2 linked regions of the Anolis sagrei genome follow. The protein of the gene in region 1 binds, or shares a complex with, the protein of each later gene. Links are inferred from orthologs where the notes say so. Each region holds a gene or a part of one and is shown on either strand. Other genes may lie near its edges. The genes, in order: TRAPPC11 and TRAPPC12.

Evidence for each region.
Region 2: TRAPPC11 (region 1) and TRAPPC12 share a complex: the UniProt entries of both Homo sapiens proteins name them as parts of the multisubunit TRAPP (transport protein particle) complex. The link is inferred for Anolis sagrei from reciprocal best matches to the Homo sapiens genes TRAPPC11 and TRAPPC12.

The regions. Positions count from the first base shown.
Region 1 is NC_090025.1:65,961,658-65,978,036, forward strand, and holds the start of TRAPPC11 (trafficking protein particle complex subunit 11), read left to right. Parts: upstream 1-7,029; 5' UTR 7,030-7,214; intron 7,215-10,868; 5' UTR 10,869-10,889; coding exon 10,890-11,093; intron 11,094-11,621; coding exon 11,622-11,791; intron 11,792-12,527; coding exon 12,528-12,598; intron 12,599-13,914; coding exon 13,915-14,029; intron 14,030-14,777; coding exon 14,778-14,877; intron 14,878-16,379. Other genes in the region: RWDD4 (RWD domain-containing protein 4), read right to left, coding at 1-40, 4,801-4,881, 6,629-6,652. UniProt on the Homo sapiens protein: Involved in endoplasmic reticulum to Golgi apparatus trafficking at a very early stage.
Region 2 is NC_090021.1:119,245,324-119,261,702, reverse strand, and holds the start of TRAPPC12 (trafficking protein particle complex subunit 12), read left to right. Parts: upstream 1-6,412; 5' UTR 6,413-6,478; coding exon 6,479-6,542; intron 6,543-12,454; coding exon 12,455-13,635; intron 13,636-15,062; coding exon 15,063-15,179; intron 15,180-16,379. Other genes in the region: EIPR1 (EARP and GARP complex-interacting protein 1), read right to left, coding at 398-481, 6,255-6,296. UniProt on the Homo sapiens protein: Component of the TRAPP complex, which is involved in endoplasmic reticulum to Golgi apparatus trafficking at a very early stage.

The sequences.
Region 1 (16,379 bases):
TTTCTATCAGGAAGGCTTTAGTGTCTCCATTATCACCTATCTAAAAAAAAACCAACCACAATAATAGATCATTATTTTGCAAGAAGCTAGAAAATCTTAGGTTTTCTTTTAAAACTAAAACAATGTTAGGTTCTTGTGGGTTTTTTTGGGCTATAGAGCCATGTTCTAGAGGCATTTCTCCTGGTTTCGCCTGCATCTATGGCAAGCATCCTCAGAGGTAGTGAGGTCTGTTGGAATTAGGACAATCTATATATATAAATCTGTTAGGTTGGTTATACCGGACAGGTAAACTCTAAACCCCCCCAACGAAACTGCACCAAAATTGCCATGGCCCTAGGACAACCCACTCGGTACAAACTAATCCACTCACAATTACAAACAACACAACAACACACTCACAAAATGGCAAAACAACTGAGCATGCGCACTGGAGCAAAGTCTCCAGCTCGCGCGCACACATGGCCGAACGGCCAATGCGCCCTCAGCACTTCCCTCGCCCCGCCCAGCACGAACATGTCGCCGCCCACACACACACAAACAACGCAACTTCCCCCCGCCCCCTTCCCTCCACCCCCTCCTTCATCTTACCCCTCCCACGCTGCCTCCAAGCCTCGCCGCGCCGCATCCCCACCGGAAAGACACGCCTCCTCCCTTCGCCCCACCCCTTCCCTCCCTGACTCATTCCTTCCCTCCTCCCTCCCTCCCTCCCCCTCCGGAAAGACACGCCGGTGGGGATGCGGCGCGGCGAGGCAGCGGCGCTTGGAGGCAGCGTGGGAGGGGTAAGATGAAGGAGGGGGTGGAGCGAAGGGAGGGGGCGTGTAACCAGAGAGGGAGGGAGGAGGGAAGGAATGAGTCACAGAGGGAAGGGGTGGGGTGAAGGGAGGGGGAGACTTTGAAGACACGCCCCTCCGTTCGCCCCACCCCTTCCCTCCCTGACTCACTCCTTCCTCCTTCCACCCCCTCCGGAAAGACCCGCCCCCTCCCTTCGCCCCACCCCTTCCCTCCGTGACCTTGAGTATGGGAGTTGTAGTTCACCGACATCCAACTTCGCCCCGCCCCCTTCTCGCCCACACATGCACCACGCAACTTCCCCCCTCCCCCTGCTAAGCCCACCCACGCCGCTGCCAAGCCTCGCCCCTTTCTAACCCTGCCACCCTCTTCCCCCAGTCCAAGCCCCGCCACGCCGCTTCCTGCCCTGTCGAAACCATCTCTCCGCCCCCTCCTTCATCTTACCCTGCCCATGCTGCCTGCACTCCTCCTCCTCCCACCCCACTCTGCCGAAGCCCCACCCACACCCACCGACGCCCCGCCCCTGCACTCCTCCTCCTCCCACCCCCCTCCGCCGAAGCCCCGCCCACACCCACCGATGCCCCGCCCCTGCACTCCTCCTCCTCCCACCCCCCCTCCGCCCAAGCCCTGCCCACACCCACCGACGCCCCGCCCCTGCACTCCTCCTCCTCCCACCCCCCTCCACCCAAGCCCCGCCCACACCCACCGACGCCCCGCCCCTGCACTCCTCCTCCTCCCACCCCCCTCCACCCAAGCCCCGCCCACACCCACCGACGCCCCGCCCCTGCACTCCTCCTCCTCCCACCCCCCTCCGCCCAAGCCCCGCCCACACCCACTGACGCCCGGCCCCTGCACTCCTCCTCCTCCCACCACCTCCGCCCAAGCCCCGCCCACACCCACCAACGCCCCGCCCCTGCACTCCTCCTCCCACCCCCTCCGCCCAAGCCCCGCCCACACCCACCGACGCCCCGCCCCTGCACTCCTCCTCCCACCCCCTCCGCCCAAGCCCCGCCCACACCCACCGACGCCCCGCCCCTGCACTCCTCCTCCCACCCCCTCCGCCCAAGCCCCGCCCACACCCACCGACGCCCCGCCCCTGCACTCCTCCTCCCACCCCCTCCGCCCAAGCCCCGCCCACACCCACCGACGCCCCGCCCCTGCACTCCTCCTCCACCCACCCCCCTCCGTTGTAGCTGCTGGGATTTATAGTTTACCTGTAATCAAAGCATTCTGAATTCCAGCAACGACGGAAATAAACCAAACGTGGCACACAGGACTCCCATGACCCAACAGAAAGCACGAGAAGGGTTGGGTAAGCCCTACTCAAAATTCAAACTGCCAAAACCATCCCTCCTCCATCTTACCCTGCCCACGCCACCTCCAAGCCCCGCCCCCTTCAAACTGCAAAAACCATCCCTCCTCCATCTTACCCTGCCCACGCCACCTCCAAGCCCCGCCCCCTTCAAACTGCAAAAACCATCCCCTGCACTCCTCCTCCCACCCCCTCCGCCCAAGCCCCGCCCACACCCACCGACGCCCCGCCCCTGCACTCCTCCTCCACCCACCCCCCTCCGTTGTAGCTGCTGGGATTTATAGTTTACCTGTAATCAAAGCATTCTGAATTCCAGCAACGATGGAAAAAAACCAAACGTGGCACACAGGACTCCCATGACCCAACAGAAAGCACGAGAAGGGTTGGGTAAGCATTGGGAAGGAAGAAAGGAAGGAGGGAAGGCAGGAAAGAAAGAGGTATCGAAGGAAGGAAAAAGAGAAAGTAGAAAGGAAAGAAAAATAAAAGGAAGGAAAGGCAGGAAAGAGGTAAAGAAGGAAGGAGAAAAGAAAATAAAAAGTGAAAGAAGGAAGGAAACATGGAGGGAAGAAAGGAGGCAAAGGAAGAAAGGGGGAGGGAATGAAGGAAAGAGAGAAGGATGAAACCAAGGAGCGAAAGAAGGAAAAAAAGAAAGAAAGAGGTAGAGAAGGAAGAAAGGAGAGAAAGGGGGAGAAAAAGGGGGAAGGAATAGGTAGGTACCTCTCTTTCATAACACTCCAGATACCTACCTCTACTTTGAAAAGTTTTACTATAGGCCACAGCAACGCGTGGCAGGGCACAGCTAGTGGGTTTATATATCTGTGGAATGGCTGGGGTGGGGCAAGGAGCTCTTCCCTGCTGCAGTTAGATGTGAATGTTTAGTTGATCACCTTCATTAGCATTTGAAGGCCTGCCTGAGCCTGGGAAAATCACCTGATGAACCAGCCTGGACACAGCATATTATTTGAGAACACAGAAATGCTGGACCACACCAACAACCACCATGTCAGACTACACAGAGAAGCCATTGAAATCCACAAGCATGTGGACAATTTCAACAGAAAGGAAGAGACCATGAAAATGAACAAAATCTGGCTACCAGTATTAAAAAACTCTAAAATTATAACAGCTAAACAACAGAGAGGAAAAGGCACAGATTAACACCTCCCAGCAACAGATTTTCCCAGGCTCAGGCAAGCCTTCAAATGCTAATGAAGGTGATCAGCTAAACATTCACACCTAACTGCAGCAGGGAAGAGCTCCTTGCCCCACCCCAGCCATTCCACAGATATATAAACCCATTGTCCTAATTCCAACAGACCTCACTACCTCTGCGGATGCTTGCCATAGATGCAGGCGAAACGTCAGGAGAAATGCCTCTAGAACATGGCTCTATAGCCCGAAAAAACCCACAAGAACCTAGTGATTCCAGCCATGAAAGCCTTCGACAATACATTAAAACAATGTTGAAAAATGCTTGTTTTATAACAGAGATTTACTTCTTACACCCACTGCGACTTTAAAATGATGTGGAAACAGAATGACATTTTCACAAGTGGGAAGACTTCAAATCCAGATGTGTAAATGAAAAACAGTACTTTATATAAATCTATAAAACTGCAACCAGAAAAGACTTGCATGCCATAGGGAATGTTGCTCATTCTAAAGAAATATGGATCATTTCGTAAGAAGGTTTATTAAGAATAAGAATAGGCCTGGCCTGATGAATTTCATGTTTCCCACTAAAATGAATGTAGCTAATTTCATAAATTTGAGGCCCAAGACTAAAGATTGTATTATTTACTTTAAAAAAACATAACTGTAATAGAAAACCGGCTCTCCTTTCTGAACCACATATTTATTTATTCATTTATTTAACTGTATTTATATACTGCCTTTCTCACCGCTTGGGGTTCTTAGGGCCATTTACAACATATTAATGGCAAAAATTCAATGCCAACATACAGCAAAACAAAGAAATCATAATAACTACTTACTACATATAACTTTGACTTAAAATCATTAAAACCATTAAACATAAGACATAAACAAAATTTAAACATTCAGACAAAACATCCTAGAATAAATATTAAAATCACATAATCCAAAAAAATACACCATAACCACTCCGATTGTCATTGCACATGTTCCTTAATTATTCTTTGCACTGTGTTATTTTAATAGCCAATGGCTTGATCTCACAACCACGTTTTTGTTCTCTTTCTAAAGGTCAGGAGGAAAGGTGCTCCAAAGCTGAGAAGCCACCAATGAGAAGGCCCTGTCTCTCACCCCCACCAATCAAACATGTGATGGATGCAGGACCGAGAGCAGAGCCTCCTCAGAATATTTTAACTTCTGTGATTCTTTCTATTATTTACTTTTTAAAAACACAACTGTAATAGAAAAGTGTGATCAGCTCCCCTGCTGTTAGCCCCTGCTTCTGCCAACCTAGCAGTTCAAAAACATGCAAATATTAGTTGATCAATAGGGTACCGCTCCAGCAGGAAGGTAACGGCGCTCCATGCAGTCATGCAGGCCACATGACCTTGGAGGTGTCTTTTGGACAATGCTGGCTCTTCGGCTTAGAAACAGAGATGAGCACCAACCCCCAGAGTCGGACACGATTGGACTTAATGTCAGGGGAAAACCTTAACATTTCAAATAAGAAAAATTACTTCTAGAATAAATTGTTTCCAACTCACCCTATATTGAAATGATACTGGGCTAAGTTCCTTGAAACACTCATCTCCTTCATAAATCGACCGCAAAGCTTCTAACTCCATCTGGAAGAAGAATAGAGCGCCATGGGAGTGAGGCACATTGTTACACACAGAAAAAAGGGAGTAAGAAACAAAACTTTCCAGAGATTGCAGAAATACAACTCTCTTCAGGTATAGGATGCACCTACACCAGGCTTGGGCCAACTTGGGCCCTTTCCTTTTTGGACCTCAACTCCCACAATTCCTAACAGCCTCAGGCCCTTTCCTTTTCCCCCTCAGCCGCTTAAGCCTTGGGAAGTCGGACTTGGCCACAGTGGTCCATGTTCTTGTTACACCCCGATTGGATTACTGCAACGCACTCTACGTGGGGTTGCCTTTGAAGACTGCTCGGAAACTCCAACTGGTCCAGCGAGAGGCAGCCAGATTGCTCACTGGAGCGACATACAGGGAGCAAACCACCCCCCTGTTGTGTCAGCTCCACTGGCTGCTGATCCAATTCCGAGCACAATTCAAAGTGCTGGTTTTGACCTACAAAACCCTAAACGGTTCCGGCCCAGTGTATCTATCCAAACGGATCTCCCTCTATGTCCCACCTTGGAACCTAAGATCCTCTGGGGAGGCCCTGCTCTCGACCCCGCCTCTATCACAAGTGAGATTGGCGGGGACGAGGAGCAGGGCCTTCTCGGTGGTGCCCCCCCGCCTATGGAACTCACTCCCCGGGGAGATTAGATCGGCAACGTCCCTTCTTTCATTTAGGAAGAGGTTGAAGACCTGGATGTGGGACCAGGCAATTGGACATTCTGGCAGCTAAAGAAAGACTTGATGACGAGCTGGAACTTGACGAGACGGAATGGATTTACGGAACTCCGAACGCTGAGCTCAGGATTAGCCTTCTACTGTGTTTATGGTGTTGTTGTGTATTGATGATTTAATTTTTAATTTGTAATTGCTTAATTGCTTTTATATATGTATGTATATGTGACAAGGCATCGAATTGTGCCTTTTTCTGTAAGCCGCCCTGAGTCCCCCCTTGGGGTCGAGAAGGGCGGGGTAAAAGTGACAGAAATAAATAAATAATAAATAAGTCTGTTAGGAATTGTGGGAGTTGAAGTCTAAAAAGGAAAGGGCCTGAGGCTGTTAGGAATTGTGGGAGTTGAAGTCCAAAAAGGAATGGGCCTGAGGTTGTTAGGAATTGTGGGAGTTGAAGTCTAAAAAGGAAAGGGCCTGAGGCTGTTAGGAACTGTGGGAGTTGAAGTCCAAAAAGGAAAGGGCCTGAGGCTGTTAGGAATTGTGGGAGTTGAAGTCCAAAAAGGAAAGGGCCTGAGGTTGTTAGGAATTGTGGGAGTTGAAGTCCAAAAAGGAAAGGGCCTGAGGCTGTTAGGAATTGTGGGAGTTGAAGTCCAAAAAGGAAAGGGCCTGAGGTTGTTAGGAATTGTGGGAGTTGAAGTCCAAAAAGGAAAGGGCCTGAGGCTGTTAGGAATTGTGGGAGTTGAAGTCCAAAACACCTGGAGGACCCAAGTTGGCCCAAGCCTGATCTACACTGTGGAATAAATACAGTTTGACACCACTTTGGCTGTCCTTGGGGTGTTCCAGAGTGCCAATCCGATGGGGATTGTGGGAGTTGTAATCCTAGAAGCAGCCTGTTCCATAGCTTCTTAACCCAAACTGAGTCAGTCTCCCCTCTAGGCCTAACTACTCCAATTGACCCAGGTGGCTCGAAGTGGGCGGGGCCTGGGGAGGCCCCTCCCCTTCCGGAAGTGCCTTAACACTTTCACTGCCGGAGCCCCCTCAAAATAAGCCTCTGCCTCACCTCTTGGTCCTCGTTCGCCGTCATGGCGAGAAGCCAGACAAGGCCGCGGCCCTCTTCCCCCTTTTTTCCTCCTCCTCCTCCCTTCAGCCGTCCTTCAGAGCAGGGAGAAGTCCAGCATCTGCCTCGACCCCTTCCCACACTGCGAGCATCTGAGCCAGAGAGCAAGGCTGCCTTCTGCGCAGGCGCCAAACCAGTGAGGTGACAGCTGCGCCAACACAAGCCGCTCATTGGACAGCGTCACCACGGTCCCGGCTCCCTATTGGCCCGAACCCTTTAGCCCCGCCCACGGAGGAAAAAGGGGGTCCCTCCTTCTTTTCATTGGTCCTTTCATTGACCATTTGCTCCGCCCCGAACTCCCTTCCAATCATCGGTTTCGAGGGCGGAGGCGTCTCTAACGCTGATTGGTCTGTGAGGGCTGTCACTCTCAGCAGTGCTCCTCTCTGGCTTCCTGAGTCAGGCCTTGGGTTCCTGATTGAATGCTTCGCCTGCTCCACTTTCTGTAGCTTGGCTGGGCCTTGGCATGGGCGGCGCCGGTAGGAATTGAGCCGGGCCTCCTCTACTGTTGACGCGGGACCTCGGAACGAAGGTGGGAGCCCTAGAGAAAGCCTCAGGCCCCTTCCACACAGCTGTATACAGTCTACATTGAACCGTGTTATATAGCAGCGTGGACTCAGATAGCCCAGTTCAAAGCAGATATTGTGGATTCGCTGCCTTCATATTCTGGTTCTTATGGCTGTATGGAAGGGTCCTCAGTCCACACTGCCGTGTAATCCAGTTCAAAACAGATACTGTGAATTCCCTGCATTGATATTCTGAGTTATAATGTTGTATGTAAGGGCCCTCAGTCCACACTGCCATATAATCCAGTTCAAAGCAGATATTGTGGATTCCCTGCCTTGATATTCTGGGTAATATGGCTGTATGGAAGGGTCCTCAGTCCACACTGCCATATAATCCAGTTCAAAACAGATAATAATATGATATTATAATTATATATTTTATATTACATGTAATATTACTAATAATATTACACTATAATGGTATAGTACAGTATAGTAATATATAATACTGATATTGTACTATACTAATAATATAATATATATTGTGTGTGTATGTATATATATATATATTTATTTATTTACTGCGCTTATATACCGCAATTCTCAGCCCTAGGGCGACTCATTGCTGTGTACAACATGAAAAAAAATAGGTGCAAATTACAAACCATAGTGCAAAATAATCCACAATTCATCATTATCATAAAAACATCTTATCAAAAAATCACATTACTACCAAATTTCTACTATATATATCTATCTTGTAAGCTGCTATGAGTCCCCTTCGGGGTGAGAAGGGCGGCATATAAATGTTGTGAATAAATAAATAAATTTTGTGTATTATCTGCCTTGATATTCTGGGTTATATGGCTGTGTGGAAGGGCCCTTAGAGAGGAAAAGGAAGGAATTGGAGTGACATCTACACTGCTGAATTAACACAGTTTTGACACTGGTTTAACCGCCAGGGCTCAGTGCTGTGGAATCCTGGGAGTTGCAATTTTGGTGAAGCCCTAACACCCTGTGGACTAGATCGAACACTAACATAGGAAATATTGCATGAACACCAAGCACAAAGTAGCTGCATGCAATACCATCCTGTGGAAACTTACTGGCAGCACATGGGGTGCAGATCCAAAATTAATAAGAACATTGGCCCTAGCCTTGTCTTATTCAACTGCTGCGTATGTCTGCAATGTTTGGCACAAGTCTGCTCATGCAAAGCAGGTGAACATAGCATTAATTTACGACATTTATATGCTGTCCTTCTCACCTTCTTTCTTCTCTGTTGATAAACTCTACAAGCTAGCTGGTATCCCCCCCACCCCCGATGTGCAATGGGAAGTTACTGCTAACTGTGAGAGAAATATAGTTGAACACTGTGAAAGCCACCCATTGCATTGCTATCAGCCTCCTCCCAGATGACTCAAATCAAGGGAAAGCTTCATGAGAACCACCACTCCTCTTAACAGCCCCAAGCAACGGCAAGAGTATCCCTCTGGGCATCTAAACCAGGAAATCCCAATCGGATGCCCCTCCAGGAGAGTCTTCCTCCAGGGACAAACCAAAAATGGGCAACTTGGAAGTCCCTGAACAGACTCTGAAGCAGAGTGGGCAGATCAAAAGATAACCTGGCAAAATGGCACTACCTAAAAGAATCCCCCACCCTGTGTGACTGTGGAGCAGAACAGACAACTCTGCAACTGTATGCTTGTCCACTATGCCCTGCCTCATGTATGGAGGAAGAATTGTTGGCAGCTACAGATAATGGTGTTGCTTTTGCCCGTTTTTGGTCAAAGGGTATTTAGCCTTTTGTGCTCCTTCTATTTTTTATCAGTTTTATACTGCAATGCTTTTGATACGAAATAAAGAAAAAACCCTGTGGACTTTGTAGAACTGCAACTCCCATGACTGCATGGCACCCAGCAATGACAGTTAAAGTGGTGTGAAACTGCATTTAATCTATAGTGTAAAGCAGAGCTTTCCCAACATGAATGTGTCGCGCAAACTTAATGAGAGACCTCTATGAGAAATAACCAATAAATCATATGCTTAAACATAAAAATGCAAGGTTTTCATGATATATGATGTGACCCCATACATTTTTGTATTACAATTTAGATATGTGTCTGGTTTGCTAGTAAAACTGAATTACTGTGTTGCAAAATGATGCTTGTCTAAAAATGGTGTCACCAACATGAAATGGTTGGAAAGCTTTGGTGTTGATGTTGTTCTGAGACAATGCTGTTATTTCATAGGACGGCACAGCCTTTTGGTTTACAACAGAGTTAAGGAGCTATTGGCGCTTCTTTTGGACTATATAACTCACTTCCTCTATCATTAGATAGATTAGATAGAGGGGTGAGGAGTTGTGGTCAAGATTATCTGAAGAATGTTTATATCTGTTGCTCATTTTCATATTGTTGTGTGTGCTGGACTTGTATGTGATATTGTATATCTTTGGGCGCGGGGGGGGGGGGGGGGTTGACGTATGGCCAGAAGACAGCTCTCCCCACATTGAGCATGTTTGGCACTTGAAATTACTATATTTTTTGAATTCTGCAACACTTTATTTACCATCTAAACATCTCTAAAAATGGATTGCGTCTTAGAAACATGGGTTCTTACACACACACATACACATTTCTATTGGTAGCACTAAAATTAGTTTACATCAATGGCATTTTTAAAATGGAAGAAGTATTTGAAATGAGATCTGTCAATACCATGTGTGTCCTAAAGACAAATTAATGTGTTCCAAAACAAATCAGGCTTAAACTCTCCCTTAAAAGAGAAACCATTGATATCCATAAGCATGCGGACAATTTCAACAGAAATGAAGAAACCACAAAAATGAACAAAATTTAGCTGAAAGAGACCCTTCAAATCCTTATTATATAGAATATCACAGGCTGATGTTTAACACTGCCAACTCATATTTTGATACCTCAAATGTTAGACCTAGGTATATTTGACCCGCTGATTTTTAAAAAATGGCACCGGTTTCCCCCTACAAGCTCTAGTTTGTGAGATGCAGAGAATATGTGATATACCAGTCTTCTACTGCTTGCCCATAGAAAATAATGATAACTACATCTAAGAAAGTAGAACTGATGCAGTCTACTTTTACTATGATATTGTTATTTTTGTTTGCTATGTTTTTTGATATTGTCATTTATGCATTGTTTTTATTCTTGTTTTGATTTGTACTTATTTCTGTAATCTGCCCCGAGTTCTGTTGGAAAAGGGATGTGATATAAATAAAGATTATTATTGTTAAATGCAATTTTCTGAATCAATGTCCCAAGTAACTCCAGGAACAGGCTAAAAAAGCAAGACACTAAGAAAAATATGTGTTATTAGATATTAGATTGTTAGGGCCAAAGTACAAGTGGACCATTAAGAGCTGCATAAAAAGATAGTCCTTTCCCGTCAAAAGATGGCAGATGGTTCTTGACAATAGCATTCTTCTATTCTTACCGCTAAATGAAGGATGCTTGTTTTGTCTGCATGTACTTTGGGCAGACAAAGAGTTTAGCCAAATCTCAGAAAAGAGTTCTTCCTTTTGTTCATCGCAGGCTATAAATGTATCAATAATTTGTATTTTTGAAGCACCAAATTTATGTCTGAATATTATTGTCAGTATATGTTTAATGTTTTGCCTGTTTATATGCTTAATGTTTTAGAATTCCTGATACACTGTCAAGATGAGCCCTTCACAGTGGGACTTTCCGGTGGAACTATGTTGCCGGCCTATGGCTTTTGTTACACTCACGGGCTTGGATGTAGTATATAATGCTGTTCATCGAGCGGTTTGGGATGCCTTTTGTGCAAACAGGAGAGCTGACAGAGTGCCCATTTCTTTTAAAGTACTGCCTGGTGATCATGAATACCCTAAATGCAGAACAAAGGTATTGCTTGAAGTCTTAGCTATGTTTACTGAGAATCACTTACAGTTTATACTGATCTTTGAATGTTGCAGTAATAAGTTTCCTACTTGAAGATTGCTTATAGGTTTAAACTGTCATTGTGAAGGAATCATTTCAAAAGTAAGTGCAGAATTATAATTTAAGTCTCAAAACTACTAAATGGGTTGGTTTATTAAATAAGTTATTATAAATAGAGTAGAAACCTTTTCTATGATTCAAAGCAAAAACTGTTGTCAGTTTGCACCATTGGTTAAGCAGTTCAGAGAACCAGTGCAACACCATCGTACCCATATTTGCTCAGAATTAAGTGCCCAGAGGTTAGAAAGCTTAGGCTTTAGAACATGTCTTTTAAGACTTCAACACAAATAATTAAACAAGCAATGATACAGATTTTGTTTCCTTCAGAAACCATTATCAGGAGTGACATAAATAAAACAAAATGTTCAGGAAATTGCCTTTGTGTATGTATGAACAGAGAGAACAGCTTCTCTTCATATTTATTTATTGCAGAGAACATCATATGAATGGTACATTCCAAAGGGTATCCTGAAGACTGGTTGGATGAACAAACATCTGAATTTGGTACCTGCCCTCGTTGTGGTTTTCTATGAGCTGGATTGGGATGAACCACAATGGAAAGAAAAACAGTCAGAATGTGCTACTAGAGTTGAAATTGTCAGGTATAATCTCTGTTGATTTATTAGTTATTAGCTATTCCTTAGTAAAGGTGTATTGCAAAGAAATGTTACCTTGTTAAACAGTTGTATTTCACTTTTCCCCTGTCTTCCACATTTAGGATAGACACTACTGCCCTACACATGTTAGAGCACCTTTACAAAAAATCATTGCAATACCTGTAATTCTGCTCTTAGATTGCTTCAAGTACTGTATTTTGTTGCATCATAGCCACACTTTTAATCTCTTTTTTATTGGAAAAGGGAGGGAGTGTGACTATTACACGATGAAATAAAATGTTGCCTTGTATTTGCCAGTTCCTGTTTCTTTAAAAAAAACCCAACTATTTGACTTCTGAAGCGAAGAGGAGGAAAGAGGGACAATTCTGTGATTATTTAAACTGTCTTTGAGGGGTCAGGGAGGGAGGAAGGTAGTTTTGTTTTAAAACTATCTGTAACAATTATGCAAGAAAAGAAAAAATTCATTGGGGAACCCAAAAAGCGGGGTGCATTGATTATGCAATGTTGACTATTATGTGGTGAAATGCCATAAGTGGCAAGTGAGATTTGCCTGAGATTTGAAAAAAAGTAAGGAGGAGCTCTTGCCTTTCCAAAAGAGGAACAAAGAATGCATCCTTTAAGTTGATTCGGTTTTATTTCGAATAATTCCTTAATACATTAGATTGTTTTGTTGACAGTTGTTTGAGTATTTGCAATCCTGAATCCAGCATTGTTCTTACAGGCAGAGTTTGCAAGGACGAAACACAAAAGTTGCTGTTGTTTTGATACAGAAGAAAACACCATTGCCTCCAGGTAAAGTATAGTTAGACTCATTCTGTTTTTGTTCTAGAAAACAAAGACAAAATTTTAAGGAACTTAATTAAGACTACGAAAGAAAATGGTGTAAATAAGGTAGGAGACCTCTTAAAACCCACCTGAGAAATTAAAAAAATAGGGTAAGATAAAGGACAGATAAAGAACTGGATAGCATGGTTAAGCTTGTCCCAAAGAATAAAGGAAATGAAAAAAAAAAAACAGATGCCCCATTAGATAGAATCGTTAATTGGAAAATAGAAAAAGAAAATTATTGGGGAATTATATAAGGAACTAACACCCTTATCTTATAAGACAAAATGCACCTTAGTAGAGGCTGGGAAGCAAGATACAAACTTTGATGAGAATTTAGTTAGGTCCTGGGTTGACAAAATCCAAAAAAAATAATCATCTAAAGATCAAGGAAACACAAAGGGAAACAATCACAAAATGGTTCAGAACCCCCTTACAATTGGCACACATTATGGGAAACATTTCTCATAAATCCTGGCGTAAGTGTGGGGAAATTGGGACATTTTGTCATATGTGGTGGGATTGCATTGAAATTTAAAAGTATTATAACACAGTCAGGGAAGTAATAGAGGAAATAATAAGGCAAAAATTATATTAGAATAAAGCCCGATTTCTGTCCCTCACTATAGAGGTAAAGAAGGGGAATAACGAATGGACAGAAATATTAAAACTTATGATATCAGCCATATATTCCACAATTGCCCAAGGTTGGAAAGGTAAAACAAGATGGGATCTGGAAACATGGTAGACTGACCTCTCTGAATAATTAACAACTTAATTAGTCAAAGGGAAAATAAATATTTGAATAGTAATTCCAAACAAGACTGAATAGGAAATTGACAAAACAGAAGGAAATTATAGATACAGAATTTTGAACCAGACCATCCAAACGATTAAATCAGTGTATTAAAATAGTCTGACCCAGATTGGGGGGGGGGTGGGAAGAGGGGAGGGGGATTTCTACATTAATTGGTTACGTTAGATAGAGGTTATAGTTCAGTAATATCTAGAGAACATCAGAAAATAGTTCTAACTGATAAAATAGGACCACTAGAGATAGAATAGCTGTAAAGTGTACTCTAATAAATTTGGGATGAATTGATATTCTTTTGCAAGATTTAATTACATACTTCTTAAAATTCACTAAAGTGGTTGATTAATGTACAATATTCCCAACAAAGTAGATGATATTGATTGATTTGTAGATATAGCTTAATAAAGTATACGAAGATTGCAAATTTGAGTCTGATTATACTTCTTATTGTGTTCATGTGGCCTTTTAGGAGAAGATGTCATTGCTTCTGAGCGGGCAGCAGCATTATGCAATGCTTGTGACCTGTCTGGAAAATCACTCTTTGTTTTGCCGCATACTGATCATCTTGTAGGTTATATTATACGGTAAGTAAATAATGTGAAAGGTGGGACTTTCTATTGATATTCTTGATGAAGGCTGAAATTCTCTTAATGTATGTTTGAGAGAAATCCCCTAAGTGAGATTTACTTCTCACATAACAGAATCAGGCTCCCTGTGTATTTCTGTTAAATTTTAAGAAGAATAGAATGATCCAGCTATTTCTAAACATCTCCACAGTGTAGAGCGGTTTCATTCAGATGTGGAGAACCTTTCCCAGTCTGTCTCTTGAGATGGAAAATGGGACACTGAATGATGTTTCTTGTTTATATATTTCTCCCAAATTGACTTCAGTGCATTTTTGTGCAAAATGTTAAATATAGTTGGGGTAAACTTTGAAAAAAAAATTGTGGAGTATCATTAAAGGTGGGTTTGCTCTAGGTATTTATTGACTATTTTTGCCATCAGTTAATCATGTGTATTTAGTTGAGGGGTCTTGGTAAATCAGCATGTATATAAACTAAATTGATTTAGTGGATCTCCTCCAGGTGTGACTAACAACTGGATTTACTCAATTAAAGCAGGCATGGGCAAACTTTAGCCCTCCAGGTGCTTACACAGCTGAGGGGGAAAGGAAAGGACCCGAAGCTGTTAAGAATTGTGGGAATTGAAGTCCAAAACACCTGGAAGGCAACAGTTTTCCCATGCCTGCTTTAGCCTATAAATAAATCTCTATATGTACTGGAAGTGATTTCTTTTACTTAGTATTTTTTGCATTTGATATTTTTTGCTCAGGCTAGAAAATGCTTTCTATGAACATGCACAGACCTATTACTACACAGAAATCCGAAGAGTAAAATCCCATAAAGAATATCTAAACAAAACGACACATCAGGTATAGTTAAAAAATGTTATTGAATTTATTATTGGAGTATTTGGGTGTACAGAATTTGCTGCACAAGAAGTAAAGTTTCATTTCTAACTGAACGTTTGCATTATTTTGAGGATAGATTAACATTAAAAACTTGTACTCATCAATATTACTGCTCCTCTGTTTTAGCACAAATGTTTATTCATACCTGTTAATGGTTAAATAGGAGTCCCACTGGAGCATTGTAGCACACCAAAATACCTGGGTGTTACTCTGGACAATGTTCTGACTTACAAGAAGCACTGCTTGAATATCAGGCAAAAATGGGTTCTAGAAATAATATCATACGAAAGCTGACTAGCACAACCTGGGGATCACAACTAGACACAGTGAAGACATCTGCCTCTCCACTTTGCTGCTGGATATGCATGCCCAGTGTGGCATACATCTCACCACGTTAAAACAGTAGATGTGGCTCTTAATGAGATATGTCGCATTATCACAGGATGTCTTCGCTCTACACAATTGGAGAAAATACACTGTTTAGCTGGTATTGCACCACCTCATATCTGCGAGGAAATAGCAGGCAGCAATGAAAGGACCAAGACATTGACATCTCCGGCCCATCCTCCATTCAGATGTTAGCCAGCAAGCCAATGCCTTAAATTAAGCAATAGCTTCCTAAGATCTACAGAGATAACTCACAGGAATGCTTCAGCAAGCAAGAGTCCAAAAGTGGCAGGTTAAAACCTGGAATCTCATTCAGTGGCTGATATCAGAAGACTGGGCGACTTGGAAAGCACTGAATAGACAGTGCTCTGGCACCACGAGATGCAGAGCCAACCTTAAGAAATGGAGCCACAAAGTGGAGTCCATGACATGCACGTGTGAAGAAGAGCAAACCGCAGACCACCTACTACAATGCAACCTGAGCCCTGCCACATGCACAATGGAGGACCTTCTCATAACAACACCAGAGGCACTCCAAGTGGCCAGCTACTGGTGAAAGGATATTTAATATAATGCCAAGTTTCTAACTTTATTTATGTTTTTAACACCATTATAACTGTATTCTCAATTTGCTTCTGACACGATAAATAAATAATGGTTAGATGATATTTCCTTGGATGGTAAATTATCTTTTACACAGTGTGGACACCTCCGCCCCCCAAAATGGGCTTGTATATGTTTCAAAGAAAGGGGAGAAGGGTTGACTGGGCAGAAAAGTATGCTTGGGAGCCAGTCATTTATTTCCTGTATCTCTGCTCAAAGCACCCAGAAAGATGGACCAGATAAAAATAAACAATATGGTGTTTTAAAACCAATAAAAACACTGGCAACAATTAGAAAGGGGCAGTGTACTGACCCAAGAGAAATAAGAATAGATGATATTACAGAGTAAAAGTATAATTGACATTTAAAGCATCATTTGAAATAAGTGCCTTCACTTGTTGTATTTTTATATTGTGCAAGATTATTGTTGGAGTCATTGCTACTGCCTTTGTTGAAGGTCACTTTAGCGTCAC
Region 2 (16,379 bases), on another chromosome or scaffold:
CATTAAAATTAAGAGATCATTGCAACTCCTTAATTCTCTAGATCTTAGCATTGCCATTCTCCATTTTCAGAGGTAAAAGTACATATTCCCATGTCCAAGCAATCCCATGCACATATTACTCAGTTTCTTAAAACTTCTTCATTGCATGATCTACCATGGGCATGGATAGAATTTTATATCGGCATGTTTCCTCACCCATACAACAAAATTCCTTAGGAAGAACTGAACACTATTCAAAGCTCATGCCTGATAGCATACATTACACAAAGATAGATACACACACACACGGATGGCACTACATTTAAAAATTCAAGTTGGCAAGGAAAAATCATTATGCTACAGAATGCTTTAGAAACATTGCCAATTCTATTTTCATATAGCTTTGATACAAACATACCTGATTATCATATTTCAGAGACTGTGTTCCAACCAGAAACCGTATTGCATCTGTTTCTGCGGTCTGGGGTGTTAAAGCTCGTGCCTACATAGAGAGGGGAAGAAGGATGATAGAAGTACTGTCACACTTTGTAGTATTTCAGATTGTGCAAGATCTCTCATAAGTTTAGGGTTCTTGGCACTGAATCCATACACATTTTGATTTTTTAAAGGGTGAATTTTTTGTTATGTGAATTTATCTAGTGATGCCTCACTTTGGGTAAAGTGACTGGCTCACTAATAAAAGTACAGTATAGTGATTCAGGTGTAAGAGAACTCTCCAAAATGAAGTGTCGACACATTTCATCAATGGGAAGAATGCACTGAATATAAACAGCAACTGCACAACTGAGCAAAGTGAACAAGTACCAAATCAACATGACTCTCTTGTCAAATTACTGACTCTGTGCATTTCGTATTTTAATCTCATTTTCGGTATAATGGTGGGGTATAAATTGAATGAATAAATAATAAACAACATATCATAGAGTTTTCTTAGCAAGATTTGGCTTTTACCTTCTTCTGACTGTTAGAATGTGACTTGCCCTAAAGCCCTCCAGTGGGATTTTTCCATGACTGAGCAGCAATTTGAACCCTGTTCTCCAGAGTCAGAGTACACTGCTCAAAACTAATACACAATAACTTGCTATAGGATGCTGCCTTATACCAAAGTCAGATCACTAGCCCATGTCACTCATTATTCGATCAGATGCTGACAGCTATTCTCCAGAATTTCAGACAGGAGCTTTTCTGAGATTAACTCTGGAAAGTGGCAGTGCCAGAGACTGAACCTAAAACCATCTGACTGTAAAGCATTTGGTCAACCGCTGTTATCCACTTTTTTCCCTTTCTTTGGTGGAGGAGAAAGAAAGAACTCTTAACTATAGATTGAGGCATAGCTGTGTGTGGACATGAATGAATGAATCCAAGAATAAAACTACAGTTGTATAAGACTGTGAGAGTCTTATAAATGCTATAATCATCAATTATAAACTAATGTGCAAACAAAGCTATCCAACATTTCCAAGATACAGTTCAGGTGCTTTGTTTGGATCAGTTATAAACCATTCACTGGGAAGTGTGTACACCGACATATTCCTGAAGATAAGAAAACTCTTACAAAATATTTGTTTAAAACTGTTTTCTGCAAAACTGAGTTCTGATTTACTTCATAATTTTCTAGCCAGAAAAGGGACAAATCGGGTAAGCTGGAAATCTGCCAAGCTATTTTACCCAACTCTTCTTTAAGATACATGTGTTGAATATAGTCTGTCCTTCACATTTACAGGTTTGACTTTTATGGATTGAATTATTTGCAGATTTGATTAAAAGATTTTTTTTTAGGAGTCTATAGGTCCTTCGGCATGACTCTGTGATCAACCTCTGTTGAAAGTTGACCACAGAATCAAGTTGGAAGACCTAGAGGTTCCTAGAGACAGTATAAGAGGAATCTCTAGGTCCGTTTGTGATTATATGTTGAACTTCCAGAGTTATGCTTGAGCAGGGGTCCTCAAACTTTTTCACGAGAGGGCCAGGTCACAGTCCCTCAAACTGTTGGAAGGCTGGATTATAATTTGAAAAAAAACATGAATGATTTCCTATGCACACTGCACATATCTTATTTGTAGTGCAAAAACACTTAAAAATAATACAATAACTAAAATTAAGAACAATTTAACAAATTTAAACTTATTAGTATTTCAATGGAAAGGGTGGGTCTGCTTTTGGCTGATGACATAGGATTGGTGTTGTTGTTGTGTGCTTTCAAGTCGTTTCAGACTTAAGTTGACCCTGAGTGAGGGCCGGGTAAATAACCTCGGAGGGCCGTATTCGGCCCCTGGGCCTTAGTTTGAGAACCCCTGTGCATGAGGATCTAGAAATGTGATTGTTCAAGCAAAAAGTAGTAGAAGTTTTTAAAATTGTGGTTTATCCACTTTTGCGGGGATTCTGAGCACCTAACCCCAGCAAATGAAGAGAGCTGGCTATATTATTAAGAATTGTGAGAAATTTTGGTCACCTCTTTAAGAATGGCTTCATTTCAGAACACAATAATTTACAGTTCTTTGGTGTTATATGGCTGCATAAAACAAAGATTATTTCTAGACAGCACTTTTGCCTTTCTTATTTTTCATTAAATCAGAGTGCTCTTTCAAGCCAAAGACATAGACATGAAGACAATCCTGGCATCTAGATTAACAACCCAAACCTAATGCCATTTATTCATTGTTTTTGGTAGGGCTTCCTTTCAAGCAAGGCTGCTATGGACTGCATGGACAGGAAATGAAGCACACAATTCTTACATTTTGGCATGATCAACAGTTCATGCAGCGTAAATTTTTTATATATATTGCCCTTTAATAACATTGGCAGGAAATTTTACAATACAATCCAGCAACAAAACACCCCAGAATTTAAGGAAAATACATGTAAAACAACAGATTAATAAGGCAGTAAAACCGGAGCACCATAAGACGGTAACTATGAGAAAAGACAAAAATGCTTGAGAGGAAAAGGAAAGGCCTGGTGTCTAAATGATACTAAAATGATCACCAAGAGAGCCTTTCGGTGAAAAGCATTTCCATAATTGGAGTACCTCTAAGAAGGCACATTCCCTGGGAGTCAAATCAACTCAATTGCTTCAGAAGGCACAGGTATTCACAGAAAAAAGAGAGAAAGTGAGAGAAGGAAAGAGAAGAAAGACAAGTATACAGTTCATAGAGGTTAGGGGTTCGGGATCCCTGCAAAAATGGGAAAACCATGAATGTCATAATCCCCCTATTATGCACACAACAGATTCTTTTTTCACTAACAGCCCCCAGCCCACATTCCCTTCCCCATCTTTCCACTATAAACCCTCAGCCAGGTTTAAGCCCCTTTCCCACCGATCCATCTTCTCAGCACTCCTTCTTTTGCCCCTCCATGTCCTGCCAACAGCTTCATGCCCTCATTCCATTTAGCACTTTTTCCACCATAAAGCACAGCCAGAATTTAAACTCCCTTCCACTATTACATCTCCTTGCCTCACTTCTTCTGCTGCCCTTCTGCCTGTCCTTCCATGTCTGACCAAAGGGCAGTAAAGGGAGTGATGCCAAGAGCAGAGCTGGCAGGAAAGAAGAATTTCCTGCCAGCAGTAGGAATAGGGTGAGATGGTGGATTGGTGGAAAGCGATTTAAACTCCAGCAGTCTTCATCATGGGAAGGTTGTAACAAGAATAAAAAGTTGGTGCTATGGGACAGCGAGGGAAGGTCAGGTGGATTGAAAGGAAAGGATTTTAAAATCTGGTAGCAGAAGGAGTGAGACAAGGGAATGAATCAGCCAGAAAGGGTTTAAGATCTAGCTGAGCCTTCATAGTGGGAAGGCAGTAAATGGAGTGAGGAGATGGCGCTGATTGCAGGATAGAAGGAGCAGCTCAAGGAGTGAGGCAAGGAGGTCAAACTTGTTAAGCCGAAGATTTGCAAAAGAGAAACCTGTGAATGTACTTCAAATATACTGATCCTAAGCTATGAAAGTTAAATTCAACCCTTGAATTGGTCCTGGAAATAGACCAGAAACCAATGCAGCTGTTAGCGCTGAAACAGGATGTCATAATATCCAACTTTATTGATCCTACTTGCCCTTGGTCTGGCATTTCAAAGATAAAAACTATGAGACCTTGGGCTCAAGCAGCACCTTAGAAGCTTTAGTCTCTCTGTTTTAACCAAACACAATTTAGCATATTGTTGAAACCCATGAAAAAATATACATACAGCTCCCATCAGTCCTAGTCATGTTGACTAATGGCGAAAAATACAGGAGTTGTAGTCTAGCATCTGCCAGGCAGAATAAAATGAAATGGCGGGCTGGATTCTGTCCATGGACTTTGAGTTTGACACATATGATCTAGAAACTCCTAGAGAGAACATCTCTATAGGAATCTCTGGTAGATGTTTACCATGGATTCACCCTAGTCTTAACAGATTCCTAGAGAGATGCTCTCTCAAGTAAAAATAAAAGCGTTTTTGGCAGCTTTCTCACTTTTGCTGGGGTTCTGCGTCCATCTTACCTTATGGAACAGTATGTATGTAGGTATGATTCTAAAATGCCATTGATTGTAAAATAGGCACTAATTTAAGTACCACGAACAGAGGGAAAAAAGCTTTATTTATACATACAAAAAAGCACCTGCAATCCCAAGCCACACCCCAACTGTTGACATATTTATATGGAAAAAAGCATATCCCAAAATCAAGGAAATATTGTTTTGAGAAAATAAAATATTGTTTTATATGCATATGACTTCTCTTTTTAAATATGATGCTTCTTAGCTAATGTATTTGATAATCAATAAGAGATAAGATATGTGCGTGGTTCCATAAATTTTCAGTTTATGTTTTGCCTGCAATTATTATTACACACACATCAAGTCTCCTATTGGAAATAGCAACCTTCTACAAGCCTTCTATACTAGTTATTTGCTATTTATATAATTCAGATTACTTACTATATTGTAAATATGTGTATTGGTATACCTAATTTGTCTTGCACGAATACTAGTGGATATATACCACTAAAGAAAAGATTCACTCAAATGAGTTTTTAGCTCTTCTCAGGATTATCATACTTTACAAAAAGGTTATAATCATTACAAATTGTGTGGATGCCAAATGTCATAAATAAATTGTAAATAAATAATCTCCAAAGGGTCGCACTTCCAAAAAGGCTTTGGAGATTCTGGTTTTCCAAAAGGTTATGATGTCAAAGGTCATTCTTTCCCAAAATCTCCTTTGTGTAGAGAAAAGGTGGGATATAAATATACATAATAATAATAATTTCTTTTTAAGAGCCCTAGAAGAAGGCCATTATCAATATATCCAGGCCAAAAAAACATCCATTGGGCTTATTTGAGAGACACAATCTTTTACACATCCCCTGATTCCATAGCACTGAGCCATGGCGGTTAAAATGGTGTCAAACTGCATTAACCCTGCAGTGTAGATGCACCACAAGGTATCTCATGATGCAAATACAGAGATTCCAAAATACATTGAAAAATTTGAAATCCAATACAATTTCAGGTAAGTCATACTCAACTTGTATTTATAAAATTGTACGTTTTGCATTTACAGATGCATTTGGTGTGAGGTTCGGCCCTTCCCCACTGCCATATAACTCAGAATATCAAGGCAGAAAGTCCCACAATATCTGCTTTGAACTGGGTTATCTGAAGCCCCTTCCACACAACTGAATAAAATCCCACATTTTCTGCTTTGAACTGGAATATATGTCAGTGTGGACTCAGATAACCCAGTTCAAAGTAGATATTGTGGGATTTTCTGCCTTGATATTCTGGGTTATATGGCTGGGTGGAAGGGCCCAAGTCCACATTGTGATATAACCCTGTTCAAAGCAGATATTGTGAGGTTTTTTGCCTTGATATTCTGGGTGATATGGCTGGGTGGAATGGCCCAGAGTCCACTGCCATATAACCCAGTTCAAAGCTGATTTTGTGGGATTTTCTGCCTTGATATTCTAGGTTATATGGCTGGGTGGAAGGGCCCAGAGTCTACTGCTATATAACCCAGTTCAAAGCTGATTTTGTGGGATTTTCTGCCTTGATATTCTGGGTGATATGGCTGGGTGTAAAGGCCCAGAGTCCACTGCCATATAACCCAGTTCAAAGCAGATATTGTGGGATTGTATACAGTTGTGTGGAAGGGGTCCTAGATTATAGGAAACATGTGTTGCTGCTGTTCACAGCATTCCCCTTCCTTTCCAATTACCATGCTGATCATGACACGACAAAAAAAAAACCCTCATTGAAGCCCCTTCTTCCCCATTACCTGGAACTCGAGCCCATAAATCACGGGAGCATCATCCTCCATGGCTTCCGGGAAGCAATCCCCATTCAAAGCCCCATAGGGAAAAGGCGAAGCTCACAACAAGTGCTTGCACGTCCCTCGCCGGCTTCCGTCTTTCTCTCCACTTCCTGGATGGAAAGAGACGCTCCGTTCACGCAGCGGCAGAAGAGACGGCGGCTGCAGTGGGACCGTGAAAGCGGGCGCGCATGCGCACTCGGTGGGTTTCCCTATTTCGCCTCGGAGGCCTTGCCGGTGTTGCTGTCAGTGGAAGTAAGTGAGGCCAAGAAGGGGCCAGGCACGTGTATTTCTTCGCTTTGGCTGGCGCAGGGAAGGGAGAACACTCCTGTGGGGTTTGTGATGCTGCCTGAGCCCCTGTTCAGAGGATTTCAACTCTCTCTTTCTGTCCCTGTGATTATTGGATATTGAAAAATGCGGCTTGTCGTGGAAACAAGGATTGGTGCCAAAGCTGCAGTGGAGACACTTTCCCCCCGTGATAAACTCTTTCAAGAGTCAATTTCCCTTCCAAGGGGGAGATTTGTCTCACTGCGTTGCCATAGAATCCCGTTTCTATAATATATTGTATAAACATATAATATTGATAATATTATAATGTAATACAATATAATAATAATATGATATTATAATTATGTATTTTATCTTATATGTAATATTACTAATAATATTACAATATAATAGTATAGTGCAATATAGTAATATATAATACTAATATTGTGCTATGGTAATAATATAATATACTAGCTTTCGGTTGACAACTCCTATGATATATGGCCTGTATCATGACTTGAATTGTCATTCAGTCTGATGTCCTATATTATATTAACTGATCCTGTTAATTTGCTCTGTTTCCATGATTTTTCCTATGCCGTTATACATTGTCATCTACCTTATTAAACCAACTATCATTTAACTAGTTCACGTAGTGGTTTTCCTCCCCCCCCCCCCTCCAAAATTAGTCTGCTGGTATTGTTATTGCTAGCTATTTTTATTATGTTGTTTTATGCTGTTTATATTGCTTTAATTGTTATTGCTTTATTTTAACTGTATTCTGCCTGGGCTTGGGTTCCATGTTAGCCACCCCAAGTCCCTTCGAGGAGATGGAGGTGGGGTAGAAAAATAAAGTTCTTCTTCTTCCTCTTCTTCTTCTAGCTGTACCCGCCATGCGTTGCTGTGGCCAACTTTTCCTCCCTCTTTCTCTTCGTTCTTTCTCTCCTTCCTTCCTTCTCTTCTTCTTCCCTTCCACCCACCCCCTTTTTTCTTTCCCTTCACCTTTCTTTCCTCTCTACCTTCTCTACCTATTCTTGGACTGCAACTCCCAACAGTCCTCCTGATCCATCCATCTATCTACCTACCTACCTATCTCTATCTAATCTATCTATCTGGAGGATTGCTGGGAACTGCAGTCCAGGAATAGGAAATTGGAAATATGCAGGGATTGGGATACTCTCAAAGAAGTCCAAGGAGAAGGAATCTTGCAGCTTGGAAGCAGTGCATTTGAATCATCCCCTTCTCCTAAAGGGTCTGGTCTAGGAAATGCTGGGAGCTGTAGTCTGGAGGAGAGTGTGGATATGCTATTGTGTGTTTTGTTCGCCAGGGGAAGTCGTTTTTGTGCTGTGGTGTCTTTTTGCTTTTTTGGTTTCTAAAGTCTTTTCGGCTGTGTTTTTCAGTGTTTTTATGAGTGATGGTCACTCGTTGGCCTGACAGGTGCATTGTGTCCAAATTTGGTGTCAATTCGTCCAGTGGTTTTTGAGTTATGTTAATCCCACAAACAAAGATTACATTTTTATTTATATAGATTGTATTTACATATTATTTGTAAACCTCTCTGAGTCCCCTTCAGGATGAGAAGGGCAGCATATAAATGTTGTGAATAAATAAATAAATTTCTGAATCCAAATTATCTACTTTGAGTTGGATTATATGGTAGTGTAGAACTGCCATATAATCCAGATAATCTGGATTCAAAAAAAAGGATGATATGGCAGTGTTGATCTGGCCTGAGACTGTCGTACTTTGGCCATATCCTGAAAAGAAATGGCTCACTAGAAAAGGCAATACTGTTTGTTAAGGGGGAAGGCAGCAGGAAAAGGTAAAGACTACACTGCAGAGGGATACACTCAATCATAAGGGTGCATCTACATTTATGCTGTGGTTCTCAGCCTGTGGGTCCCCAGGTGTTTTGGCCTACAACTCTCAGAAATCCCAGCCAGTTTACCAGCTTTTAGGATTTCTGGGAGTTGAAGGCCAAAACATCTGGGACCCACAGGTTGAGAACCACAGGAATGAAGCATTTTGATCCCACCTTAATTGCCATGACTAAATGCTACAGAATCCTGGGAGTTATGGTTTTACAATGTCTTCAGCCTTCTCTGAGAAAGACTGTTTGTGCCGCACCAAACTACAAATCCAAGGATCCATAGCATTGAACCATGTCAGTTAAAGGGGTGTCAGACTTCATGGATTCTGCAGTGTAGATGCACCCTGGGTCTGCAAGACTTCAAGAAGGGTGTTGGCGATAGGATTACTTGAAAGTCTCATTCACAAGTCAACATTAAGAGCAACAATTCATTGCTATTAATTATTATTGGCATGTATTGTCGAAGGCTTTCATGGCCAGAATCACTGGGTTGCTGTGAGTTTTCCAGGCTATATGGCCATGTTCCAGAAGCATTCTCTCCTGATGTTTCACCCACATCTATGGCAGGAATTCTCAGAGGTTGTGAATTCTGTTGGAATGTAGACAACTGGGGTTTATATATCTGTGGAATAATGTCCAGGGTGGGAGAAAGAACTCTTATCTGTTTGAGGCAAGTGTGAGTGTTGGAATATGTTTTTAAAGGTTTTAATGTATGTATGTTGTAATTCTGTTTTAAATGTTGATTGTAATTTTTAAATTATTTTAATGTCATCAAATAGTTGCCTATGTTGTAAAGCTACCTTGAGTCACCTTCGGGTTTGAAAAAGGTGGGGTAGAAATATCGTAAACAAATAAATAAATTGGCCACCTTGATTAGCATTGAATGGTCTTGCAGCTTCAAAGCCTGAGGGAATCCTTTGTTGGGAGGTGTTAACTGCCCCTGATTGTTTCATGTCAGGAATTCCCCTGTTTTTAGTGTTCCTCTTTATTTACTGTCCTGATTTCAGAGGGTTTAAAAAAATATATTATTGGCATGTATATATTGACCCTTTACTTCAAACTGTGGGAAAATACATATAACATACACTTCCTGAATTTTATTATACAAAGATGTTTGTTTTATTAAAATGATAATAATCTTTGCAAACATATTAAAGAAAATAATTTGTCACATATTTTTCTATTTTAAGCATCCAGAAACCCACCCCTGCTTTCTCTTCCAAAAAGACAAGTGTTGTACATAGTGAAGCCAAACCTGACAGAGCTGAATTTGGGAAATTATTTTTCAGTACCTGAAAACTGCATTTTTGGGATGGCTCAGTTCAAGTTGCTTTCAGCTAAAAATTTATAGCATGCTTTCTATGCTCTCCATGGCAATGCTCAATTTGAAATGGAATCCCCTTCACTACATATTTTCTTTTACATTTCTTTGTCTTCTATCATTTCGTGCACCATTATCATATTTTTGGCATGCTGGATTCCCCATATTCCTGTAAAGAATACTTTAGTGTCCTCCAAGTGTTTTAGACTTCCACATCCAGGAATCCTAGCCAGCTTACCAGCTGTTAGAAATTCTGGGAGCTGAAGCCCAAAACGCCTGGAGGACCAAAAGTTGGGAGCCACTGGTGTAGAAGAACAAATATTGGATATTTCTGCAATTCAGTATAAAGGCATATCCTTGCTTTGAAGTAACTAACTGCAAAAGTAAATAAGACACGTCTCATCAAAATCTATGACATTTATTGCAGTGTTTTGACCTAGTAATCCCTCTGTCTCTCTTTTGAAGTCTACCAGCACCAGTGTTTTGCCACGATTCTTTGCCAGATAATTTAGACAGTACCCACTATATCATCAAAGCTCTGATTGGTAGCAGCGCAATAACTCAATCCAAAAGAAATTTCAAGCAGTCACTTGAATATGATATGAAATGATATAAGTGATTATAAACTTCAAAGTAATCTCCAGCCAGAGCAAGCAATCACAAGATGAAGTTGTGATTTAAGACAGTGAATAGAGTGCACAAATGCCAACTCCATCCCATGGAGTGTCCCTCCCGGGACCAAATCTCTTCATGTGAGAGCAATTTTTTCTAGTGCTGAAAGAGAAATCCCACTCCTTGTTACATTGAGCAGCAATTGAAGATATCAGGGCATCTCCAAGTGAGGGATATAGCCCATATCTGGGGTAGTTGTCCTTTTAAGCACTGGTGAGATGAGTGGCATAGGAAGAAAACGTACAGTGCAGCTGGTGTTCGGAGGAGCTGGTCCTCCAAAGCTAGGTATGTCTCTTTGCCCACTGCATGACCTTCTACGGCATGGTGAATGACAACAGAACTGCCTTGTAGTACCCAAGAACTATATGTGTGTACTCAAAATGAAAAGAGCTACTTCAGTGGTTCTCAACCTGTGAGTCCTCAAATGTTTTGGCCTACAGCTCCCAGAAATCTCAGCCAAATTTACCAGTTGTTAGGATTTTTGAGAATGGAAGGCCAAAACATCTGGGGACCTACAGGTTGAGAACCACTGAGCAGCATCTAGAACTAGTCAACAAAATTTGCAGGTTTTTTAAATGGCTAGCTTTAGAGGTACTAATACCAGTTCTACCCTCTTGCCACTTAGCCTCTTCTTACCTTGTTACTTACTAGGGGTGTGTGAATCTCTTCTGTTTCCATTTCGAATTTTAGGTAACCCTCATTCTGTTTTCATAAAGGTTCCAGGAGATGGGGGTGGAGGGGGAGGTGTTTGGATTCGTAATTCGGAAACCTGAGTTTTATTTCCATTTCAGGAAGAATCTTCCCAAAAACAGAAGGGGGGGGGGGGGGAGAGAGAGAGACAGACAAAACAGAACAAAAATAGAACAGATTCTGCGCCATTTCACACATCCCTACTTGTTACTCTGGTATACATTTATTTTTCAGCAATGATAGTTGTTTAGTGCTTATTCCACCGATGTTCATGTCTTGAGAACAATCGATCTGCAATTTTAATCAAGCATCCCATCCACTCTCAAGGAGGCAAAAATCACTCTTGTCACACTGTCTAAAGCAGAGAAACAGCAGCCCAGTCAGGATTTACTTGTTCTAGCTGTTCAATATACTATTTACCCACCTCGTTCACCATCTGCAAGTTCTTTCTCATCTCCTCCTGCTATCTTCCTCCTTCCCATTTACTCCTCCATCTTTTCCCTGACCTGCATTCTTCCTTCTCCATAGTTTGTTCTTCTCTGTGCAACCAGGCTCCCCCAAAGCCTTGCCCCTCTCTCTCAGCAACACAAGGGCCAACTCTCCTGTTGGGGTCTAAAAGAGCAAGCATTGGCTACTATTACAAGTGGACAAGTCAACTCTGATGTAGGGAATTGTAGCCTATTGTATCTAGATCAACTTCTATGCCATTGCAAATGAGCAAGCCAGAATGAAAAAAGTTTACTGTACAGAGCAGTGTTGAGGTGCTTGACACCAGAACATTTCCCATAAATAGGTGAATTCATGTATAATGCAGCCTTGTTAAATCATTTTACGCTGGAGGAACCTTTGAACAAGTGTTCAGATCTCAGGGACTCCATGTATAAAGTTATATCTTCTTCTTAAAAAGTATATTGATTTTTTTTCCAGTTATAATCTTTTACATAATCCCTACTAAGCTCTTGCAGAACCATGGGGATTTAAGGAACCCTGGTTGAGAAACCCTTGTCTAATGTCCCTATTTGGTCCTTCTATCTATAAGTATACTCCAGTTAATGAAGTACGGTATATGCTTTAGTATAATCCAAGTTTTTCAGCCCATTTTTAGGCTCAGGTGAAAATACAGTACTAAGGTCTTCAGTAGGTGGCTTTGGTGGTTTTCAGTGCTTTTATGTCACTTGTCATGGTTGTCTTGCACAAGGTTAGTGAGGAGGACTTTATTGTTTTGTAACACTTGATGTTTATTGAAATGCTGGATAGACTTCAGTGTTGCTGCTTTATGCATAAATGGCCAATGATTTCATTACCAATGAGAGTAATCACGTTCACTTGTATTTTCACTTACAGCAGCTATGGAAAACAAAGAAAGCAGTATTGGAGATGCAGCAGAAGGTGAATGCAGCGTCCAGCAGCAAGCGGATGAAGAACTTCTTTTTCAGGAAGAAAACATTGATCTTGGAGGAGATGAGTTTGGGTCTGAGGAAAATGAGACTGCTGTGGAGGATTCTAGTCCCTTCTTAGATAAACTGAATGAACAGATGATGGAAAGTGTCATTATATCAGATTCCCCAAATAATAGTGAAGATGATACCGGTGATCTTGGTTGTCTGCAAGAAATTGTAAAGCAACTGGAAGAAAAGGATGTTCTCGTAACAGAAGGAGAGACAAGAAACAAGGCTGTTGGTGATGAGGATGACACTGAACCCGAAGGCACTCCTAAAGCTATTTCTAATAGTGGAAGTGATAATCAATTCACTTTAAAAGAAGACTTGATTCAGGAACCTGCACAAGATGAATTGGAAGTGAAAGGTGAAGGTCCTAATTCTGTTGCCAACAGTGAAGGCAAAACTGAGGAGACAACATCCTCGCCACTTGCCAGCACATCACCTGTCGGCACTGAGCCTATTCCTGTGTGTACTATCTTCAGCCAAGGGAATCATATGAACGGCCAGCAACAATTCTTGCATGATGGCTTTGAGCCTCAAATGGTGAAGTCACCTAGCTTTGGTGGTATAAGCGAGACTCCGGTGAAAACTCATCCCCAGGTGGTTCAGCCTAGTCCAAGTCTAAGCAAGTTTTTTGGTGAAGCCATTAATACCAATACACTAGCTTCTGATTTCTTTGATTCATTTACCACATCCTCTTTCATTTCCGTCAGTAACCCTAATGCAAGCTCATCTGTACCAGAACAAATGTCTTCTCTTGCAACAACTGTAGATTCCCATGACTCTGCTGACCTTAAATGCTCTGCTAAAAGTGGAAGATCTGAAGCTGGAAGATCTGCATCTTCTCCAGAAATATCACAGTCTCCAAAGCCATTTTCCCATATACAAGCCGTTTTTCAAGGCAGTGATGATCCTTTTGCATCTGTGCTGAATATGAGTGAAGTGGACAGAAGACATGATGCTTGGCTTCCCAGTGACATAACTAGAAATGTGTTGATTTCTGTAGCCACGCAGCAGTATAGTAATGTTTTCATAGACAAAGAGAATCTCACAATGCCGGGATTAAAATTTGACAACATTCAGGTAAGGCTCTCCTGTTGCTTTTCAATACCTGTAATACTACAGCTGATACATTCAAAGGCATTTCAAAAATGCCCCCAACTATGAACCCACTCTTCAGGTGATATGTATGACCAAATGTAAAGCAGACATTTCCTTTCCTCTGTAGATGGCCCCTAGCATAATCATTTCTTGTTTTGTTTGAGTTAAGACTATTACACCTTGAGACAATTTGTTACTAATCTAGATAGTTGTTTGAAGTTCTCTCCACATCTCAAGCAAATGAAATAGGAGGAAAGAGTCCTCTACATACTGGTAGCAGTGCATCCTTAACATTCAGTGGCCCCACCCAACAGTTTCATGCAGATCATAATAGACTGAGAGACCAAAGCTCACTCCATGGGATCCCATAGAGAGGAGAAAGTATTTTTCAGTATCATCTAGGGGCCCTTCCACACAGCCATATAACCCAGAATATCAAGACAGAAAACCCCACAATTTGAATTGGGTTATCTGAGTCCACACTGCCATATATTCCAGTTCAAAGCAGATAATGTAGGATTTTATCCAGCTGTGTGGAAGAGGGTTAGGACAGTGTTCCCAACCTTTGGGCCTCCAGGTATTTTGGACTTCAACTCCCAGCCACTTTACCAGCTGTTAGGTACTGTGGGAGCTGAAGTCCAAAACACCTGGAGGCCCAAAGGTTGGGAACCACTGATCTAGGATGAGATAGTAGAAGTACACACACACCAGACTGAGTAGCTTCACACTGTTTTGCGTGGGAGTGGGAATTAACAAAATTGAACCCAGTTCCTCTCCTTCACTTGTGATGAAGTAAGAGGGGGATAGAGACCTTCATGTAGTGACAGAATAGTGCAGACATGCTAACTTGGCAAATCAAAAGTTGCAAAAGTCAACAGGGTTAATATTTAGATTTGAGGGGGGCGGAATCAGGTTTCTTTGTACCATCTCCTTTGAAGGGTGAAGAATATGCATTGCTCAGAAAAAAATATAATTCTGATCACATAACCTTTCCTCAATAGTTATGAGATAGCAAAACAATAAAAATGAAAGTAATGGGCCTAAGTTCTCCAGATACCACATCTCCTATGAAGGTAACCAGATCATAAGAGTAAAAATTACTTACAGAAATCAGTTGGTTTTCCTGTTCAGAAACTAAAACCAAAGTGACAAAAATGGGTTTTCTTTTAAGAAGGAGATGGTAAGCATCCCCTATTTTACACAATAAAAGCTGTTTTCAGAATGAAATTTTTTTAAAATTACCTTTATTAACATAGGAAACGGTACAGATACTCCCACATTCAAGGCCCTTGTTAAGTAGGAGGATTCTCGAGTATGTATTTTCATTAATGTATGAAGTTTATATTTTTTAAAAGCACTTTGGTTGTTACAAATATTGGGTGTATATATTGTATTTTCCATCTTTTCAGGGCGATGCCGTTAAGGACTTAATGCTCCGCTTCCTCGGTGAACAGGCTGCAGGGAAAAGACAAGTTCTAAATGCCAACTCTGTGGAGCAGTCATTTGTAGGCTTGAAGCAGCTGATAGTAAGTAGCAAGGTGTTTCCTCTCTTGAAGCATACTGAGCACAAGGCTTCTTTTGTAGGTAGCCAGGAGCTGAAATTATTCTCATCATCAAATGTGGATGATTCAGTGCCCTGCATTTTAATAATCCGGAACAGGGATGGACAGAAAGTAAATGGTGACTTGCTGGTAAATCTCTTCATGAGTAGCTATAGATCAGCCAAGGTTTTTTTTGCCTTCCAGCTGTTTCACAATAACAGAAATAAAATGATGCGCACCACAAACATCTTAAATTAAAACATTGATTTTTTAAAAAAACAAATAAATAAATCTTGTGGCAACAAAGAATTGGTTTTTGCTTGGAGTTTCAGTACAAGTAATTTACAGTGTTGGTATCTGAAACATACATGGGGTTAGAATTGTTTCCTTCTAAATCCCCAAATCCTTATTGGGGTGATACCTTTGTTAGTCCAATGAAAACATCATAAAGTGTGAAGGCTTTGCATTTGCAAGGGCTTAATGATAAACAAAGAGTAAAATGTTGATAGTATGACTGTGGCCCCTTCCACACAACTGAATAAAATTCAACATTATCTGCTTTGAACTGGAATGTGGACTCGGGGCCCTTCCACACAGCCCTATATCCCAAAATATCAAGGCAGAAAATTCCACAATATCTGCTTTGAATTGGGTTATCTGAATCCACACTGCCATATATTCCAGTTCAGATCAGAAGATGTGAGATTCTATTCAGCTGTGTGGAAGGGGCCTATAATTTTGAAATAGTGTTGCCTCTGTCTTTTTATATTTGTTAGTGTGTAATACATTCATTTACACTTGAAATAAATAAAATCCCACCTGTGCACTATTACTGCCTTAAAGTACAAAATATACATTGATAATATGAATTTGACACATAAAATCTATAATGACTAATCACTGCTGTTTTTAGAGTTTTCATGTTAGACTTCCTTAATGAAGAACTATCATAGAAGTTTTGTAGTTCCTGTAAGCTAGACCATGATCGATGCTTTTTCAAAGAAAAAATATATCAAAAATCCAAAATATTTGAATTGCATTATTTTAGTGTGTTATTAACCCTCTATGCGGGTTAATAAAACTTGCAATCACTAATTTTGTGGTATTTCTGAACACCTTTGGAATGCATGTGGTTTTCCTATATGGACTGCATCATCTAGTGGTTTTCTTATCCAGAGCACAGGA